Arabidopsis thaliana: one gene and its partners. The protein of the gene in region 4 interacts with the protein of the main gene of each other region in a pairwise test. Each region holds a gene or a part of one and is shown on either strand. Other genes may lie near its edges. The genes, in order: AT1G07050, HAM4, AT2G02060 and AT3G10590.

Region 1 (5,039 bases), on a different chromosome or scaffold from region 4:
GTCAATCCCATAACCACCAATCTAAAACATTTCCATAGACAAATTCCAATAATGAGCAACTTAACATTGTCAAAATGGTTACAACTTTGAAGCAGCCAAAAATGTTTATACCCCAAACGTTCTGAAAGCGAGATGATCATAGCAAAGTTGCTGGTCATCAACAGATCGAACAAGCTCCAAGACGGATTTAGGCGTCGGGTTTCGATTTAGGTAAACAGTTTCCATCTGCCCTAAGACACTCCTGAAGAAAGATTCAGCAGCAACCTGGCCAAGTGTAAAAAACGAGAGACGAGACAATTAGATGATAATGGCAAGTTATCAACTTGAGCAGGCAAATTAATTGCACCCACATGCCAAAGAATCAAAACATCAACAATTGACAAGAACAGAGTTTTCAGATCTTTCATGACCTAAATCAATCGAGGGTATATACACCATACAAGAAATATACAAAAGGACGAACCTTTGAAGACGATCCGCGAGAAACATTGTTTGATGACATCGAGGAGTCTCTTCCAGAGGAAACGACGACGGAGAGATTGCGCTTGCCGACGGAAGGAAGCCGAATAAGAGATCCAGCAGAGAAGGAAACAGAGAGTGTTGATCGTAACGAAGAAGGGAAAGAGCCGTAGAGAGAGGCTTTAATGGCTGATGAGTGGAGTGAGATCATGGTGGAGATAAGGAGGAGATGGTTGGTTTTGTCGCCGGAAAGCTTTTGATAGTGAGAAAGCTCCGATCATGTATTTTGATTTATGGAGATTCCGTGCTCTTCTGTTTCTCTCATAAGAGATTCGTGTCGTGTCAGATAGTACTATTTCATCCGATGAGACGTGGCGATATTATCAATGGGGTTATCTTTAATTTGTTTGATAATTAAAGCTGAAATTCTATCATTGGATGATTTGTAGTTTGTTGCTGATTTTCAGAAGAAGAAACTACAGGTACAAGAGTTGAATCTCCAATGACCTTAAATACGATAATTAGAGTTGAAATTAGATTTTTGATGAGTGAACTTAGTCTCCATCCATAGGTGCGTCGCCGTTTAATTCATTTTCCAAGTGCAAGGTAACAATGCAGGTTTGATTCGTTGGGCTTTTTCAGCAATTGTCCTACTTTGGATGGACAATATGATGGGCTTTTCATATTATTTGGGCGTTTTGGTGTAAGGTTTCCTAGTGGGCTACTATATGATCTAAAAAGGAATTTGAGAAAGCACTAGCAGTAATACCGATAAGCTCGAACGTTAATTTGGAGGTGTAGAACTTATATACAAAGTTAGATTTTCCAACACTTTACACACGATCAAAAGACAAACACGAAAAAAACTGTACGATATCTACCATTAACTACATAAGATCTTGAGATTTAAGTTAAACATTGTTTGAAGAATAATTGACTCTAAGGGAAAGTATGCCAAACAAGTTTTATCCGAAAAGATTCAAATTTGGTCACCAATCTATTAATATCTTAGCTTCATATTCGTCTAGTCCGGTGAAAGGATATGGAATCCGTGAAATTCGGTGGTGGAAGGATAAGGTATCCGTGCCTTAGGGTTTATAATAGTCATTAATATGTACATACATTCTTATGCTAATGACGTAATTTTATAAAAATTTACGGTAGCTTTGAATATTCATATGAGAAAAACGTGGTAGTTGATATGTAGTTTGGTCCCGACAGCGGATGAGTAGATTTCGATTCATACACATGTGGTGAACCCTTTTTTAGCCTTAAGACCCCACCAATTCGACAAAGACTTGCCATATACGTTCGCTCCTCTTCATGTAATCTTAAAGATATTTTTGCATCTCTTTTCTTTTTTATGTCAATAAGATATTTTCATTTCAATATGACAAAAGTTGTAAAAGTCGATAATGATATCTCAAAACTACGAATAATAATAACAGAAAATAGACACAACAAAGGTTGGAGATATTTTTCTCCAGATATTTTTGCCCCTTTTAAGTCTCTCTTTTCACGAACCGACCCTACAAATAATTCAAAAGATTTCCATTGCAAGAGAAATATAAAGTTAGGCCTCACAATATTAATTGGTGTCATGAAACTAAATGAGTAAAGGCTAGAGTGTAGAAAGAAGAAGGAATAAGAAAGAGACCTTAAAACGAGGTCGTTTATCTGCGTTGAGTTTTCGGACTTGGTACCTTATCTTCTTAGAGAAGAGCCTACTCTGTCTTTTCTCTTTGTACCTTAACACACTTGCTTCTCTTCGCATGTTTCTCTTCTCCTCTATCACTGGCACTTCTCCCCTCTGCATACACTCTAAATCATTAATATTGACTAATCAAGATTAATCACTACTCATAACTTGCACAACAAGAAAGAGATTCATAAAAACTAACATAAACGGAATTGTCCAGAGTTGAAGTATCTGTCCACAGAGGTTTCTGGTGATCAGACCAAGCATCGATAACTTCTTGATGGTTCAGATTCAGCTTCAGACCCAAGTCTTTGTCTTCATAATCCGTCGGCTTATTCTCCCAAAACCCAAAACTTGAGCCTTCTTGATCAGTACTCGATCTTTTTTCTTCTTCCCCTACATCTTCATCTTCGTCTTCTTCCCAGAAATCCCACGTGAGTTCGTTAGAGCAGCTTAAATTGTCAATGGTGATGTCGAAAATGCTCTCGAAATCATCTATAGAATGATTGTGTTGGTCTCGAGAGTGACCATTGATGGACTCGAAGGTTGAAGAAAGTAGATGATCTTCTTCTTCTTCTTCTTCTTTCTTCGGCAACCTTTGTGTATCCATATATCTCTTATCTTTTTCTCTGTTTTGTTTTCCCTTCACTCCAATATTTTTTTTTTCTTTGTAAATCCGTCACCATACGAAAACTATATATAGATACAAATACAATATTTAGAGAGCAAGGTGTTTCTTTAATACTTTAATATGTGATGTAACTGATACGATGTGGCATCTTATCCCAAAAGTGATGGAATAATCTCAAGCTGATTGGTTTAGAGAGTCCAGCTTGGACCCAATTTGAGGGACCTCTCTTACTGGTCCTTTGCCTCTAACCAGAGACCATTTAGCCACTTTTTTCATCTTTATACTAATAGCCGAGTCCTAGCGTCATTGGGGCTAGGAAAGAGCTATAACAGTATAAAATTTCCCTGTTCTTCTTCAGAATTCATTTTCTTGTATTCAAAGTATCTTAAGTTAAGAAGAGAATAAGATTCTTACATCTTGATGAAGAGGAATGGGAAGCCGAAATCTAAACTGAAACAGAGGCGTCACCCAATTATCAATTGGTAAGTGATATCTATGTTTCGATCTGTATCTCGGCCTTTCACTCCTCTTCTTCTTGATGTAAGAATTTGTTATTCGACACATTAGATGGAGTGAAAAATCTGTTAGATATTTATATACATGATAAAAAAAGTTGTGATGGAAGGAAATGATAATAGGTATGTTTCCACCAATAGATGAATATGTAGAAAATTAGCAAATGACAGCTATTAAAATTTGACACTTTGACACATATTACATAGACATGATAAAATAAGAAAAGTATATAACTTTTTTTTATATCCTTAAAAGAAAATGTATCTATACCGCTAATTATATATTTTATAATTAATTACACATTAACACATGTTGAATTACAAGATTTGTATACATTGAATATGCATTGTAAATCACAAAAATGATTAGAAGGAAAAGAAAACACAAGTTGACCAAAACTAAAAATAGGAAGATGATGATGACATATCTTGGTTTAACAATTACAAAGAAAATATCTCAGAAAACAATTGTCTACTTGTGATAGCATAGACATGAGCCACATGATATATACTACTAAAAAGAGAAATTATGTGGCAATCTATTTATTAGATTTTGAACGGTTGAAGTTTAGACAATTTTGAAAATAACATTTTGATTTTCAAATTTATAGAGTTGTTTAATAATACAAATTGATTAACCTTTTGCTATTTTCATAATGCAAACGTAAGAACAAAAACTAGTTTTCGTACTTTTCAAGAAAAAAACTGAATGGAAACTTTTCAGAAGGTGGTGATACTGATGTGGTAAAATTTCGAATTTTGATAACCAAAAGCTAAAACAGAAACAATCTTTATGGGAAATGTGTCTGGTGAAATGATTTGGATTTTGCTCATAAAAGGCATCAATGAGGTTAAGCTTCTTCTATTCTTCTATGAGAAAAAAAAATGATCTTCAGTAACATCTAAGTTGTAATGTTAGCGAAAGCTGACCTGTTTTTCAATGAACATGAAGCAGCAAAGTTTGTAGCATCAGTTGCATCAAAGTTCAAACACAGCGCACATCTGGTTCTAGATTTCGATTCATCCGAATACTACGGAGATCTTGCAACATTCTTTCGTTACGCTTCTTGATTCCTTCTCTGAACAGATTGCTACCTGTGCAGTCTGGATTTTTAGTGGGTAGAGTCTGTCTGGATTGTATTCTGTGTTCCTTGCTTCTCAAGTACCCTGCACCTTGTGCCTGAACTGTTTGTGATTCGAAAATTACTCAGACCAATCAGATACATTCTAACAGACACTCTGTTAAAATTGGTCGAGTCAGTTTTATATCCTTTATGATGGATCCAAACAATAGTTGGTAGAGTCAGTTTATAAATCATCAATCTTTCCAACCAGTAGATTTCCAAGATTCTATCAAACTCAATGGATTCTCCCATACATAACAGTCACACTACATTGAAGGCATTGAACGGTGGGAATAAAACGAGTAATTTAAGACCAATACTTTAGATAGAGACGAAGAAAGCAATCAAAATGTAGTCAGAAGTCTGTTACAAACAGCAAACTTTAAAGAAGACACGATATAAATGAAAATACCTGAATGTGAAGATGTTAACGAGGCAGCTGAATCCCTTAGTCTCCTTACTTTCTCAGCAGCATCCAAAATGTCAGAATTATCTTCTGATTTTGGTTCAATAAGACTATCCTTCTTAAGGCTCAACAGGGCATTTTCAGACGCCTACGTAAAAACTCATCAAAATGTCATACCTCATAGTAAGAACAAGTCAAAATCAAA
Region 2 (5,334 bases), on a different chromosome or scaffold from region 4:
TAATATGTTTTGGCGATATTATATTATTACACAGGTTCTCAGCAGTCAGCACAACAACTTAAAATTTTCTTTATCAAAAACAGTTTATGAGACATTATACTTAGTATAAATCACGGTATACATATTATAAAACTACCAACACAGAAACGAATAATAAGAAAGAAACCTTTGGCAGTGGGACAATTTTGGTAACGAGAGGATCCATTGGTCGATCAGTAAAAGAATATTGTCAGAGTGGGAATATAAGATATGATCGTCATTCATTTGTTTTTAATATACAATCACGTGTGTTAATAAATAGAACTTGTATTAATTACCAACATTATTTATGAAATATTCTTTTCTTTTTCGACAAACTCCAATCATGTGTAGGGAAGATATTGCCATATTTGGAGACGTTAGTGTATATGCAGAATAATTATCATTCATAAATTGTATTGCATATAATTAAAACGTTCGTTACCCAATATCAGATGGATTTAAATAAAATAGTTGTACACATAGGGCCATCATTTTTTCAGGGAATTAGCTGTATGAACGAGAATCAAAAGTGATAGTGTAATGATTTTCAAGCTAACAAGACGTAACATTTTGGTGGTCTGTGGACGAAATAATTTCTGAGCATAATGAAAACATTGGTCTAATACTGGCATTTTATTATTATTATTATTATTTTATTATTTGTTTAAAATACTGGCAATTCAATCTAACAAAAAAAAGGCAACTAATTTGGCGAGTGATTTCAGTTCGATAAATCATTGATTATTTTTCTTGCATGTTCCACATATATAAACTATAATATTATGGTATTTTATGTATGATCCTCGAAAATAAACTAACTAGTTGTTAAGCATGAGATTAGGATACAAGTGGATCCCATTGCATGTAGGCGTTCATACGGTGGAATATTAAACTTGATTATTTCTCTTAAATTTTTAAAACATAACAGAAATGTGGGCTTAATCATTAATTTAATGAGAAACAACTAAAAAAAGTTGCCACAAAAAGAACTTTTAGTATTTTAGTGTGTTAATTGAGCCGCTATACCGCATAAAATCTAAATTATATAACACAGATGAAGACTTATGTAAGAAAAAAAGTTGAATTATGTTAGGAAAAAGGTGTATTAATGAGAGGAACCTTTTCTCCACGATATTAAAGGTTGAATAATGTCTCAATGAGAAGAAGCTTTTCTTCACGAGAACTATATGATGTTTAAATTTCGCAAACTAGGCCATATTTTGCGAAAATGGTGAGTTATTAACCTAATATGATCAAACATTCCTAATTACACAAGGAAAAAAAAAAGAGAGTATATTCAAAAGATTGAGGAAATGGTTTTGCATTCTGGTACACCAAACCAAATAGAAAAGAAAGAAAACAAAAAAGGAAGGTAAATTTCCATGAAAATGAAAGCAATAAGTGAAGGAGAGAACATATTCTTTCTTTTTCCTTTGCGAGTTAGAGAGAAGAGTGGGGGGCTAAGCAAAAGAAAGAAGTGGGCGTGATTCTTACGCGCTGACTTAATGATCAGTCAATCTCTGGCCCATGGGCTTCTCGGTCATTTTCTCCGACATTATTACCTCAAAAGTTAGCCCATTGTGGACCCGCTTACTTTCCCCCTGCTTTTTACCGTGTTATGTGGGCTCCACATAAAGCCCAGTGGTCACTCCCTTTTTCCTTTCCTTTGTTTTTTGTCGCAAGCAGCGGGGATTAGTGTCCGTTAAACATCATCGACTCAAATTGTTTCATGCAATTTTCCCCTTTTTTATTGGTTATCAATCGAATAAACCTCTCTAGCTTTTGTAACTAGTTTGAGATTATTATGTGATATATGCACGGTACTAAATAAATACATAATATTGTATTTTGTGTGGTACTAACAACTAGGTTTAGTGAGAATAAAAACGACGTTGTAGAGTTTGTTTAGTAAGAATATTTTTGTCCAACACAAACTACTTTTAAAAAAAAATTCCAAACGTTGATATACCTATTGCCTATTGGAATAATCAACGCAGATTCATAGTTTTTTATTTATCTCCATACTTGGGTCAAAAACGTATGAGATTTAATGATCGAAAACAATATCCACAAATATGAAATATTTTAACGCTGATCTCAAACTCAGGTACAACATAGTTACATATAGCCGTGCTGCTATGTTTGAGAAAGATTATTTTTGATCACTTAAATTGTCATATGTAATAAAAAAAAACTTTCAGTTAAATGTTTTTGTAAAATACTGTTTAAAATTTTAGGATGAAAAAGACTGAAAAAAAACCACTCAGACAAAAAAAAGAGAGAAATCATTAACCTTTTTAAAACATCCTTTTTCTCTTTTATTTTCAACTTTCACATTCTTGATGATCAACATAGTGGAGCTTGGATCTCTTTTCAATCAAATGATTTATTTTTATTTTTAAAGCAGAGGAACTTTATTTGTATTTTATCCCTTTAAAGAGCTGTAGAAGTTTCCTTTTCATTAGCTACAGAAGTTGCTAGTTGTGCATAGTATATAGTTTTGGAGATATATTATGAGAAATTAATACAAAATAAAAACTGATTTAAAATCTTTCAGTTGAATTTCATGTGAAATAGTATGTTATTAATAAAAAACGGAATCATATACAAATCATTGTCAATCAGATTGTTTCGTGTATAAATATTATTCTGTAAAACCAAACAAACCCGGATCAGACACGGTTACCAAAGTTGAAATCTCTTTATTTGCACGCACTCACTCAAAGATAAAAAGCTTACCACTCTCACCTTTCAAAAGCCCCGCCACCTTCTTCTTCTCCCACACACAAAGAAAAAAGACAGAAAGAAAAAAACTTTTTTTCTTTTCGTTAAAGGCTCCACCTTTCTTTCTTCTTAACACACAACACATGAAAATCCCTGCATCATCTCCTCAAGACACGACCAACAACAACAACAACACTAATAGTACTGATAGTAATCACTTATCAATGGACGAACATGTCATGCGTTCAATGGATTGGGATTCCATCATGAAAGAATTGGAGCTTGATGACGATTCTGCTCCTAACTCACTTAAAACCGGTTTCACCACAACCACAACAGATTCTACTATTTTGCCTCTTTACGCCGTCGATTCAAATCTCCCTGGCTTTCCCGATCAGATTCAACCGTCGGATTTCGAATCGTCTTCCGATGTTTATCCTGGTCAGAACCAAACAACTGGGTACGGTTTTAATTCTCTTGATAGTGTCGACAATGGAGGATTTGATTTCATTGAAGATCTCATCCGAGTCGTGGATTGTGTTGAATCGGACGAGTTACAACTCGCTCAGGTGGTTTTATCACGGCTTAATCAACGCTTGAGATCTCCGGCGGGTAGACCGTTACAGAGAGCTGCGTTTTACTTTAAGGAAGCTCTCGGTTCGTTTTTAACCGGATCAAACCGGAATCCAATCCGGTTATCTTCTTGGTCCGAGATTGTTCAGAGGATCCGAGCGATTAAGGAATATTCCGGGATTTCTCCGATCCCTCTCTTCTCTCATTTCACGGCGAATCAAGCGATACTCGATTCGTTGAGCTCGCAGTCGTCTTCTCCGTTTGTTCACGTGGTGGATTTTGAGATTGGATTCGGTGGCCAATACGCATCGCTTATGAGAGAAATCACTGAGAAATCTGTAAGCGGTGGATTTTTAAGAGTTACGGCAGTGGTGGCGGAGGAGTGCGCCGTAGAGACGCGACTAGTGAAAGAAAACCTAACTCAATTCGCGGCGGAGATGAAAATTCGTTTCCAGATTGAGTTTGTGCTGATGAAGACTTTTGAGATGTTATCTTTCAAAGCGATTAGGTTTGTTGAGGGGGAGAGGACCGTCGTTTTGATTTCCCCGGCGATATTTCGTCGTCTAAGTGGAATCACTGATTTTGTTAACAATTTACGGAGAGTATCACCTAAGGTCGTTGTATTCGTGGATAGTGAAGGATGGACGGAGATCGCCGGATCTGGATCATTCCGGCGAGAGTTTGTTAGCGCTCTTGAGTTCTACACGATGGTGCTGGAGTCGCTCGACGCTGCAGCTCCTCCCGGAGATTTGGTGAAGAAGATAGTGGAAGCGTTCGTTCTACGACCGAAGATCTCCGCTGCGGTAGAAACGGCGGCTGACAGGAGACACACCGGCGAAATGACTTGGCGGGAAGCGTTTTGCGCCGCCGGGATGAGGCCGATACAGCTAAGCCAGTTCGCCGACTTTCAAGCTGAGTGTTTATTGGAGAAAGCGCAAGTTAGAGGATTCCACGTGGCGAAACGACAAGGAGAATTGGTGCTGTGCTGGCATGGAAGAGCACTTGTTGCCACATCAGCTTGGCGGTTTTAGATAAACCGGGTTTGGTTTAACAATATGATATAGAATAGAATAATTGTATTTACCGCCTTTAATATCTCTTTTCTTTTTGCTGTTTATCTTTCAAATAAAGAAATAAAAATATTTCTTACGAAGAGTCTCTGTATGAGCTAGAGTCTTTTAATGATTCATAATCTCCTCTATTCAAAACACAAGTGACCTTTTTTTTGCGAGTGTGCGAGTTCGTCGTCAATTTGGTAAAACCGTCGTACGAATCGCCGATGAGCGGGTTTGCTTCACAGATTCCATCCATGGCGCTTCTTGGATCTGGACTCACCGGCGAGGTAATCTTCCTTTAGTTTGATTGATGTTTCCGATTGTACGGCTTTTGTTCCGATCCGTGATTTGGGGATTCGTGATAAAGTTTATGATTAAATATGTATATTTAGGATTCCTTCATCTTCTGCCTTGTTGGAATTCAGATTTCTTCTGTACTGGATTGTTTTTTTGTTTGGATTACTCTTTGACAAAAGCCGATTAGAGAAAGAGGTGTTTCAATTCCTGATCATGTGGATATTCTCAACTTTTGGATTGAGAGAAACAATTGTTTTTCTCAATGGAATTTTCAGGTTGGGTTGCGTGTATTGTTCTCTCCACTTAGTTCCAATATCGTACTTCGTACAGCATGGTGAGTTTTTTTTATTGTAAGGTGAAGAAAGCCATATAGTTGCTAGAATCAATGGTACAGGTAGACGAATGAATTGGAGGAATGATTTGATTGGTGAGATTGTGATCTGATTGAGTGATTCTCATTACATGTGAAGCAATGGGGTAGGGAGGGAGTTTTTTTTTTTTTTTTTTTTTTTGTTGACATAGTTATTAACTTAGCCGAGTGGACAAGGGTTCTATTCTACTTGTTGTGATACTTTAGGGTATCTTTTGGACAAGGGTCAATCTATTGTTGGGGAATCTGGATTCTTTTTGTTTTATCCGAGTTTTTGGTTATTTTCTCTATTAG
Region 3 (6,445 bases), on a different chromosome or scaffold from region 4:
AGTCATATTGATAGGAGGTGGTTGATGTTATCTTTAGGTTGGCCGCGAGCATTTTTGGTAAATCTCATCCGTAGTTGCTTCAGAAAAGAGGACTTGTTGATTCTAGAGATTAGTAGTTTAAAAGGGTTTGTGCCTTTGTTTCTGCTTTTAGTTGTTGGGTTCGACCTCTTTCGATTTAGGTTTACAAATCTCTGTTTTGTGTTTTCATTAATTACGTTTTCCTTCGGCTTTGACTCCGGAAACATTTATGTCGTTCGCCGGTTTTAGTTTTCCTTTTTTGGGGGTTGTATTCTACCTTGGTTGCACAACAAGTTTATCAATAAAATTTCATATGAAAAAAAAAAAAAAAAATTGCAAAAGTTACGCTTTTGAAAGAAAAAGAAAAAAAAAAGGAATAAAAGAGGTTATGCTAAGAAAACATATCAAATCTAATTCCAATCCTTAAGGATGAAAAGTCAAGAGTTGTTTGGTCCTACTTCCAATAATTATGCACTCACACTACTCTAAACCTTTTCACATAACCATGCAATGTCTATATCTATCCATGTGTACATTGTTGTATATTATATTCTCTGTCTTGTAATTTATATATTAGTTGTGTAATTTTTTTGGTGGCCCAACCATTCCCAAATCAAACTTTTAAACAACTCTCTTTCACTTTTGTTTAATGTTATTTTAGGTGTGAAAAGGCTAATTCTTCTCTGTTCTCTCTAGGTGTTTCATGGATTACACCTTTTATATTACTTTAACCATCTTAGAATTTGCCTTGTTCTTGCATGTGCTATGATTGAATTCAATCAATGGGTGATGAGAAAATTGACCCAATAGAATAATAAATTAACATTGATAATCGTCGAATGGTTCGGTGAGATTTGCACATCCAAATTTTCCACACACAAAAAAGAATGTTATGTTTTTTATAGTCCAAAATCCAGTTGGGTTACATTATCTTACATGTATGTACAAAGTTTTATAATATTAATAAAAAAACAAGCAAAGAGAATTATTGAATGTTTTGATTGTGGTAAAAGCCATGAATCATGGACCTCCACAGTCAATTACTCATTCAATTTCTCTTGGAGCTATTTGTCTCTGCCAGACTCATTTAATGTATTATTTTCATTTGCTTCCACTTTCTCTCATACATGTATTAGTACTAACCATTTTGATTTTTGAGACTTGAACTCTCGGTTAGACATTTTATCCATCCATGCAATTGTGTTTATCGATCAATGATCATCAGTAGGATAATAAAAGGCTTTATTAGTGAATATAGTAAAATTGTTTCACTGATAAAACCTTTTGGAATGTGTTTACTTGATTATTTTGATCAATGATCATAACCTAGGTAGCTTTTTGTATTATTCTTCTAGTCAATATATAGGTAATATAAGCAACTCGTGTGTCTTTGACAAGCTGGTGACTGAATATTATATTTTAATTACCGTCTAATCAAACACTAAACCATTTTTAAAATCGTTAAAGCGAATTTTGGCATATATGCAGAGAATTCCACGTTTTTATAATAATTTAGAGAATGTGCATAAATGAGAAGAAAATGCAAAGCACAATAGGCTACATTTTAAAGGTCAATGACCTCACTTTGTGTGTAGATTTTATTATTTGATTGTTTTTTTCGTTGGGTATAGAAATGTCTGATTTATGTGTGGAATAAAGACGACGACTTTGTTAAATTATAAATTATTAAATTTTGTTCTCTTAATTAATACTCAATCGGCTTTTTCTTATTTTTTTATTATTATGGCTGATACCACGTAAACCACGAGTAAGTATGTAGTACAAATCAATTACTTTCTAATACTACATAAAAATTATATACTAGTACTTAATTTCTTACAAGAAATACATACATCATTTAAAAACAGTATTTGATGTTAATATAAGTAGTTAATAGTAGAATAGCTGATAAAATAACGTGATTTATGTCCACAATTCGTTGATTAAAATATTGAATCCATGGTTGGAAAAAACTGGCGAAATCAGTAATTATTGTCGGCTACCATATAGGGACATGATGGTTTTGGTTCGTCTTCCATGTACACCAAATCAGCAATGAGAAAAAGAAAAATGGGGAAAATAAATAATTCTTGTTATAAATATTATCCTAAGATTTATTATCACTTATTATGGGAGTGAAAAAGAAAACAATAAGAAGGAAAATGAATGGGAAATGGGAGAAAATGTAAAGGAATTAGGGGAATGAAGTCAAAACGGTGGTCCAAAAGACATAACGAAGGACCATTGTAAAATTGTGTGATTTATTTGAAATCAGAAAGTTTAACACGAAACCCTAAAAAAACAAAACAAAAAACAAAAATAGGAATAATAATTATGCTATATGGTCAAAGCTAAGCAGTTGGGCTATTTTCATTTAAATTTATTCGTTTTGGTCTAAAACCTATCGTGAAAAAAGTGAGAAAGTAAAGTTTGAGGTACTGTGGAGGAAACTTCTTCATTTGGGTAAATCCCAAATCCCTATAAGGTAAATATTATGTGTTCTTACAAAATTTGGTTTTTCTATGACAAGTATATTCTTTTGACCAGCTAAGCTAACAAATGTATGTTCAATTGGTTATATATCGATCGGGGCAAGGGTAATACTCGAATCTATGTTCTTTTCATGCAAGTTATGTATGTAGCCTTGTGTAGTTCTCTGGTACGTTGATATGCAATGATTCTCTCGAAAACTATTTAAAAAAATTATTTAAGATAATAATGAATGGGGTCACGAGTCAAGACTAATGTAACCAAAGTCAAATGGATTTTCGTATGATTACTACTTTTGTAACCAAAGTCAAATGGATTTTCGTATGATTACTACAAGCTTGTAGGTCAAAAAACACATGTCACCTCTCTGTTTAGTATAATAAACCAATTTTATAACATCATTCTTTTTATTTGCTAGTTTAATCGTCTAAATAAGTGACCCAACCATAAACCATATCAGATTATGAAATTTTGACTTTACGATAGTTTACGTATCCTCAAATTCCTCACGTATATGTCATGAACAATTCTTAAACAACAAAATTATAACTCTCTTTTAATTAATGTAGTTTTTTCGTAAGAACTCAAATTGATATTTAACAAAAAAAATGAATGAAACATTTCTCAAGTTTTAATAATTATTTTTTGGAATTTTGCAAAACATATATAGAGAGATAATAATAAGTATGAATGAATCCAAAAAGAGACAAAAAGAATAGATGGAAAAAGAGACAGTCATCTTTAAGAAAGAAGCCAAAAACAAAAACTTGCTCTTTTAATCCCAACCCACACACCTCTCAAATCCTCCTCTCCTCGTTTCTCTTTCTCTCCTCTTCACAGAACCAAAACATATCAAACCTTTTTTTCTCTTGGGTTTAAGTAAAAATCGAATCTTTGTGTCGGTTTTTAGGGTTCTTGAAACGATATGGGTAAGTCTAGTGGTAGAAATGGTAACGGAAGCTTTAACGGCAATAAATTTCACGGAGTTAGACCTTACGTACGGTCTCCAGTTCCACGGCTTAGATGGACGCCGGATCTTCACCGTTGTTTCGTTCACGCCGTCGAGATTCTCGGTGGTCAACACCGTAAGTTTATTATACTTTTTTTCTCTTCAAATCTTTTGTGAAAAAAACCAAACTTTTGTGTGTTTGTTTGCTTCAAACATCCTAAAGTTACGATATAACTAGAAAAATTGGACTTTTCTCATTCTTTTGTCTCAATCATCGTAAAAAATCAGTTTTTGAATAAAATCTTCACACTTTTGTTACTTTGTTTCATTCTTATCTTCAAAGTTTGGATTTTTATGCTAAAAAAAAGGTTTGAAGTTTCCTTATTGTGTTGTTTATCTTCATCATCGTAATGAATCATCTTTGTCAAGTTACCGAGTCAAAACCTTCACGCTTTTGTTGTTTTGTTTCATTCATAAAGTTTGAGTTTTTGTTTTTTTTCATAAAGAATCATCATAGTCACCTTTTTGATATTTTGTTGGGTTTGATGAAACAGGAGCAACACCAAAACTTGTTCTTAAGATGATGGATGTGAAGGGACTTACCATTTCACATGTCAAAAGCCACCTTCAGGTAAATAGTAATTAATTTTACCAAAAACATCAATTTTGTTTTCTTCTTTATTCATATTTCATTCATAACACCTTGTTTTGATTGTTTTGAACATATATATAAACAGATGTATAGAGGAGGTTCAAAGCTCACTTTGGAGAAACCAGGTATTATTTTTTTCCTTATAATTATGAAATGAATCAATGATGATATTTGGAAAAAGAATGGGACCGTTGATTTTAATTTGAACTGTTAACATCAAACACATAATAATGGATGGAATTTAATTATTTTACTGTATCTGTTTGTAGTATGTACTATTGGTCTAGTGTCATGATTCATAAGACAAATGTCATAAATACATTTATATATTTTTCAAGAGTAATAGAACAGAAAATAAGAGAATATTCATTAACTAGTTTTTATTGTTTCTTACACAGAAGAAAGCTCATCATCTTCAATAAGAAGAAGACAAGACAGTGAAGAAGATTATTATCTTCATGACAACTTGTCTTTACACACAAGGAATGATTGTCTTTTGGGTTTTCACTCTTTTCCTCTTTCTTCACATTCTTCATTTAGGTATTTATTTTTATTTATAATTGTTTTCTGACAAAGTTTTTTAATTTTATTTCAGTAAAAAAAAAAAAAAAGTGTTTTGCTTTTTTGTTTGTCTGTATTTGAATTGTCCTTTTACTTTGGTGCAGAGGAGGAGGAGGAGGAAGAACAAAAGAGCAGCAGACTTCAGAGTCTGGTGGTTATGATGATGATGCTGACTTTCTTCACATCAAGAAGATGAACGATACGACGACGTTTTTGTCACATCATTTCCCCAAGGTATAAATAAATTTCTCTTTTGTCAACCGGTTTGGAAATTTAATGTTGCAAAACAAAATCAAGTCCGGTTATGAGTTCTAACCGGTCTGATTGAGACTGGTCAAATCCAAAGGGATTGAGTCCGGTTTAAGTACTACTTGTCATTGAATCTAATTAGTTTCATATAAATGGCATTTAACCGGTTTTAGTCCGGTTTGGTAACTAATTTTGTCTTTTGGTTCATTAGGGAACAGAGGAGTGGCGGGAACAAGAACACGAAGAAGAAGAAGAAGATTTGTCGTTGTCTCTGTCGTTAAATCATCATCATTGGAGAAGCAATGGATCATCGGTGGTGAGCGAAACGAGTGAAGCAGCAGTCTCGACTTGTTCAGCACCATTCGTATCCAAAGATTGCTTTGGTTCTTCAAAGATTGATCTTAATCTGTCAATTTCTCTCCTCGGTAGCTAAATAAGTTATGCAAGATTTAGGTTCAGAGAAACTATTCGGATGTGTTTTTGAAACTAGGATATTGAATGTTAGTAGAGAAACCTAGAAAATGAAGTTTAGATAAATTATCAACGCAGCGTTTTGATCGCCTTTGAACGGAAAATTAACAAACAGAGCCAAACGCAGTGTTTTGATCTTTGAAGGATAACCCCTAAACGCAGCGTTTCTATATCAAGATCCTACGGTTTAGAATGTTCATTGTTATTTTGGTCGGCAATCCTACGGTAGAAAAAATAATCTCGCAGATAAAACCCATTAAACGCTGCGTTTCATCGTTGGAGGGTAAACTCATTAAACGCCGCGTTTTACATTCAAAAAACTTGAAACTACCTTATAACCGCCCAGACGATGACCAACGTCGTCAACGTCGGCGAAGATGAATCTATCGAACCGTTTTGGCTCCAATTCCAAGACGGCGATACTCAACGATTCTTACTCCGACGAGAATCATTCTTCCTCCGCCGCCGCCGCCGTAACTTCCGTCGTAATCCCACCGTGCTCCGGCAATGTACTCCGAGCCGTTCTCTTGCTCTTCTTCATCTGCTTCTGCTTCTCCCTCTACAGAACTTCTGGTTATCTCCGAATCGTCTCTGACTCTTCCTCCACCCTCTCTCGCATTTTCCCCTCTGTCAACGATTCTTCTTCGTCTCCGTCTCCATCTCCGTCTCTGTCTCCGGTGAGTATTCTTCTTCTTCCACATTGTTTCTATATATTTGGTGTTTATTCATAAATCCGATCTTCGACTTCATTAGACTTCGATTCTAGGGATTTGATTTGGTAATCGAAATTGAAATTGGTTCGATTTTGATTCTGATTCTGGTTTTGGTTTCTTAGGAGGAAATTGAGGAACCTAAGCTAGAAGAAGTATTGCGTAGAGCAGCAACTAAAGATGGTACAGTGATTTTGACAACTTTGAATGAAGCTTGGGCGGCTCCAGGATCTGTGATTGATCTTTTCTTTGAGAGTTTTAGAATTGGTAAAGGAACAAGAAGGCTATTGAAACACTTGGTGATCATTGCTTTGGATGCTAAAGCTTATTCACGTTGTCAAGAAC
Region 4 (4,398 bases):
GTCTTTGACTAACCCTTAATGCATCAACTCCAGCAAGATTTAAGACTCTTCCTCAATCAAAAGAAACCCTAAATTTATGTCTTTGACAAACCTGTGTTCCTCTTCTGTCCAAGGAATTATCCTCGGTATCTGATTCGTCTCCCCGTGTTTGGACTCAGTCGCTTCCGTCAGTGACACGTAATAGGCTTCCGGGTACTTGGGTAATGCATACTTACCCGATTCGATCAGCACAACATCATAGACCAATATTGCGTCGTAGTAGTACTTCACCTCCTCCAAAGGTTTCTGTAGAAACTCGGCAATGTACTCCAAAAAATACGGCGAGCCCTCAGGGAATATCACCAGGGCTAACTCAAAACGCTTGTCATTGTCTCTCGTCCACGGCGGAATCAAAGCCATAATATCCAAGAAAATGAAGAAAAATAGTTTGTGGAATCTGTCAGTCTGTGTCTGTCACTGAAGAGGGTTTGTTGTTCCTTTAATTATTTTTTGAGAACCTGAGAATTTTATAGAGGTGATTTCGCCGGATAAACTAATAAGAAAAACTACAAATTTAGCCCTCAATATATAATGTCATTGAGATTTTTCGTTTCATATTAGATTTATAATGAGAAATAATAAGGAAAAATGTAAAATTAACCCTCCTCTTTGCTTTATTTAATAAAAGAAACCCGAGTTATTTTATTTCGTTCTTAACCACCATATTATATATATCAAACTCAGAACTCAGAAGCTGTCTTTCTTTTTATTAAACGTGTTTATACGTCTGTTTAATTATCACAGAAAAAAATAAAATAAAAAGATGAAAACTTTCAGTACAAGAAAGAGTTCTAAGTACGTATGACTGACTTCTTTATGAATTTTCTTTCTTTTAAACGTGTTTACGCGCGGCCTTTATCACAGAAATAAATATTCTATTTTTTTTGAATTTAAAGAAAGAAAGAAAAGATTACTTTTCAGTTCAAGAAAGAATTCAAAGTATATATCTTCTTATAAAATTTTGGTCTTATTATGCTTCCAAGTTCCATGTAAATTAAATATACTGAAAGACAAACGGTTTGACTAAATATTGATCATTTAATTAGTGATCATATTCACTTACTTTATATATAATATAATATCTTGGCTTTTTTAATGTTTTGAAACTATTTAAAATAAAAACTAACATATACTTGATAGAATCATTAATTATCCTATACACTTGAACATCATCAAGTGAAACTGATATTTTTGTATACCGAAACTACGTAGCAATCCTATACATATGCAGAAAACAAGCGAAGTTCCTTTTTTATTATATTAAATCTATATATATATATATATATATTATCTATTTTTGAGTTCAAGTTCCGTTGCTTGTTTCATTTCACACCATTCTTCTATCTTCCAACATCTAAACTCCAAGACAAGTGCCTTGACCTTGGGACGGATCATCATCATCCGGAGGGTTCTGATTTCCAGAATCTGGATTGCCCTCGGTAGACTCCAAAGTTATGTCAAAAATACTCCGGCGTTTCTCCTTCTTATTGTCCGATTTTTGCCTTTTGTAATACTGTGCATGGCTTGACACTTGCCGTGGAGTCTTTGTCTTCACAAAATTCGTTGATGTCAACGTCGAAGCTCCTTCCCCATACTTTTTCAATCCTTGCAGAAACAATCTGAAATATATCATTAAACAATCAAAATCATAAGAATTAATAACCTAGATATTATCATAATCAGCATCATCATGTTAAAATTAATATAAATCAAATTGATAATTACATCTATCTGAAGAAAAATACTTGTATACGTTACCCTAATCAACAAAACCCAAACTAATCATTTTTTGTGAGATTTGAACTGTTAACTTATACTTTTCCTCAAGATTTAAGACTTTTCCTCAATCAAAAGAAACCCTAATTCATAAGTATTTGATGACTAACCTGTGTTCCTCTTCTGTCCAAGGATTTGGCGTATCCTTCTTCCTGCGTTTGGACTGACTCGATTCCGCCAGTGGTACGTACTCGGGCATCTGATTAACATCGTTGGCCATCTTTTCGTACATGTACTTCATCTCCTCCATTTCCATAGGTTTCTGCAGATGCTGGGTGACATTCTCTAAAGGTTTCGGCAGATAAACATCGTTGACCAACTTTTCGTAGTAGTACTTCACCTCCTCCAAAGGTTTCGGCAGATGCTGGGCGACATTCACCAAACGCTTGTTATCCGGAGGGAATTGCGACAGAGCTGACTTAAAACGCCTGTTGTCGTCCTCCGTCCAGCGTGGACTCGAAGCCATAGTATCCGAGAAAATGAGAAAAAAAAAAAGAGATGGCTAAAAATTCAAGAAACAAGAAGATCGTTTTGTGGAATATGTTACGGAAGAGCGATTGTTTGTTCGTTTTAATTTTGGCAACCTGACAATTTATAGAGGATCAAGTAATGGGTGAAAATTACAAAATTAGCCCTCACTTTACAAAAAGAAACACGATTTCGTATTTAAACACGCACAACTTGACTCAGAAGTTTTCTTCTCGTTTACGTTTAGACGTACGCAGTGGGTAAAACTTGGAGTGTAATTTCAAGTTATTTTAGTTTCCTATTTAACCCCAACTTTATATATACTACGTACTTAACTTGAAAGCTCCATCTTACGTGTATCTTCTGTTTAGCCTAGATGAAATAAAGCAAAAAATAAAAACATTGAAATATATATTATTTTAATGGTTAAAGAAAATAATATAGATGACCACAAAATTAAATAAAATATGGTTTGCCAAAAAAATGGAAATCCCAAATCTTTAACATACCACACAAAAAAAATAATCAAGGGCCTTCAATATCTTTAGGCTTTTTATTTTTTGGTTGTTAATACAGTCATAGAGATTTATATCACTTTGAGTTGGGGGCCTTAGCATGGTGACCGATTTCCAGAGCGACGAGACTCTCTTGTTGGCCTGTTGAGTCCACATTGGTGTTATTTGCTCCCTGCCGTTTCATCACATTCACATCGGTGCTTGCCACATTTAAGTCGTTAATCACATTTTTCTTTGAGCTTTGCCACTGGTAAAAGTTTTCTGCATATATCTCGACTTGGATCGGGCTCTTGCAATCCAATAAGACGGCTATTTTACGCCAATCTTTCCCAAATCGGTCTAACCCAATCAGAAACCATCTGCATTACAATTTCCACCAGTTCATAGATCAGCCCATTTTAATCAAGTTTCACCATGGCATTATTAGTTAACGATATAAATTGAGTCAAATGAAAAAAAAAAAAAAACTATATTGTCCACATTAAAAAAATAATGCTAGAATGTGTAAATCGTAAGATCATAGGACTAAATACATTTTAATCTCAGAAATGAACTATGTGAATTATGGAGTCTAAGAGGAGAATGCGTCTAGCTAGATCCACAAACCAATACCAGTACTAATCAATCATTATGTTTATAATTGAAACTTATACGTGTATGTAAATTCCACTAACTAACAAAAATCATAACTCATCACTCATTAATCTTATATACTTACTCATGTGTTTCTTTGGTCCATATAGTTCTCTCGGCCTGGTACGAACTTTGAGCCATATCCTTAGTCAATTCATTAGGAAAAGCTACTCGACTGGATCCCATCTCTAAAAGATCATTGACCAATTCCTTGTAATGCTCCTTAACATCATCCACCGATCTATCCACATACTCGGCGACACTCTCAAACCGAGTAAGCAAAAAGGCAGTGAACATCACCAGTGCATCCTTGAACATCTCGTTCTCCTCTGTCGTCCATGAATTTTCAGCCATGATTCCCAAAACAAATTAAGGAAAATGAAGTCTACAAAACAGAATGGTGTGAATCTGGAGAACTACAGTATATATAATAACTCATGTAAGGGATATGGCAGCTTATAAATCAACTCAAGTAACAAAAAATATATGGCTTCTCTTCTCTCAAATTGGGGTGTATTAAGTTTCCTTCCTTTTTCTTATATTCAAAGGGTAAATTTTATTTCAGATTTTGCTATATTGCATACAAAGTCTTTATTTTATTTCTTTCTACTGATTTATTGTCATTCATTTAGTTTCCTATATCCTTTTTATTAAATTTGTTTTATAATATTGACGATTTTAGCCAATTAGATTATGATACGTGTACAAATAAATTTTTATTTTCACACGTGTTAGCAATCAGAATTATGATACGTGTTACAGCCAATTAGATTATAACACGTGTATAAACAAATTTATGTTTTCACACGTGTTAAAAATTAAAAATTTAACATACAAAAGATTATAGACCTAATACCACACAAATAAAATAAATAGTCAAAACTTTAGAAATTAAGAACTTTCATTAACATGAAAGAAACAAAAAATTGTTTATTTTTTCAAACTCTCTTCACACGAAAAGGAAAAT

What was found.
Region 1: the proteins of AT3G10590 (region 4) and AT1G07050 interact in a two-hybrid assay, tested with the Arabidopsis thaliana proteins (one large-scale study listed by BioGRID).
Region 2: the proteins of AT3G10590 (region 4) and HAM4 interact in a two-hybrid assay, tested with the Arabidopsis thaliana proteins (one large-scale study listed by BioGRID).
Region 3: the proteins of AT3G10590 (region 4) and AT2G02060 interact in a two-hybrid assay, tested with the Arabidopsis thaliana proteins (one large-scale study listed by BioGRID).

Annotation. Positions count from the first base shown.
Region 1 is NC_003070.9:2,162,366-2,167,404, forward strand, and holds AT1G07050 (CCT motif family protein), read right to left. Parts: upstream 2,897-5,039; 5' UTR 2,769-2,896; coding exon 2,361-2,768; intron 2,270-2,360; coding exon 2,081-2,269; 3' UTR 1,989-2,080; coding exon of another isoform or gene 1,962-1,988; 3' UTR 1,210-1,961; downstream 1-1,209. Other genes in the region: AT1G07040 (plant/protein), read right to left, coding at 1-21, 112-264, 464-670; DFO (uncharacterized protein), read right to left, coding at 4,290-4,489, 4,841-4,982.
Region 2 is NC_003075.7:17,303,172-17,308,505, forward strand, and holds HAM4 (GRAS family transcription factor), read left to right. Parts: upstream 1-2,586; 5' UTR 2,587-2,888; coding exon 2,889-4,349; 3' UTR 4,350-4,477; downstream 4,478-5,334. Other genes in the region: HVA22K (HVA22-like protein K), read left to right, coding at 4,598-4,660, 4,946-5,004.
Region 3 is NC_003071.7:492,258-498,702, forward strand, and holds AT2G02060 (Homeodomain-like superfamily protein), read left to right. Parts: upstream 1-2,487; 5' UTR 2,488-2,503; intron 2,504-3,123; exon of another isoform or gene 3,124-3,418; 5' UTR 3,419-3,433; coding exon 3,434-3,593; intron 3,594-3,787; exon of another isoform or gene 3,788-3,825; intron 3,826-4,011; coding exon 4,012-4,088; intron 4,089-4,194; coding exon 4,195-4,234; intron 4,235-4,507; coding exon 4,508-4,649; intron 4,650-4,774; coding exon 4,775-4,904; intron 4,905-5,130; coding exon 5,131-5,352; 3' UTR 5,353-5,521; downstream 5,522-6,445. Other genes in the region: AT2G02061 (Nucleotide-diphospho-sugar transferase family protein), read left to right, coding at 5,768-6,067, 6,226-6,445.
Region 4 is NC_003074.8:3,309,031-3,313,428, forward strand, and holds AT3G10590 (Duplicated homeodomain-like superfamily protein), read right to left. Parts: upstream 2,298-4,398; 5' UTR 2,282-2,297; coding exon 1,926-2,281; intron 1,659-1,925; coding exon 1,394-1,658; 3' UTR 1,178-1,393; downstream 1-1,177. Other genes in the region: AT3G10585 (Homeodomain-like superfamily protein), read right to left, coding at 92-399; AT3G10595 (Duplicated homeodomain-like superfamily protein), read right to left, coding at 2,875-3,157, 3,517-3,785.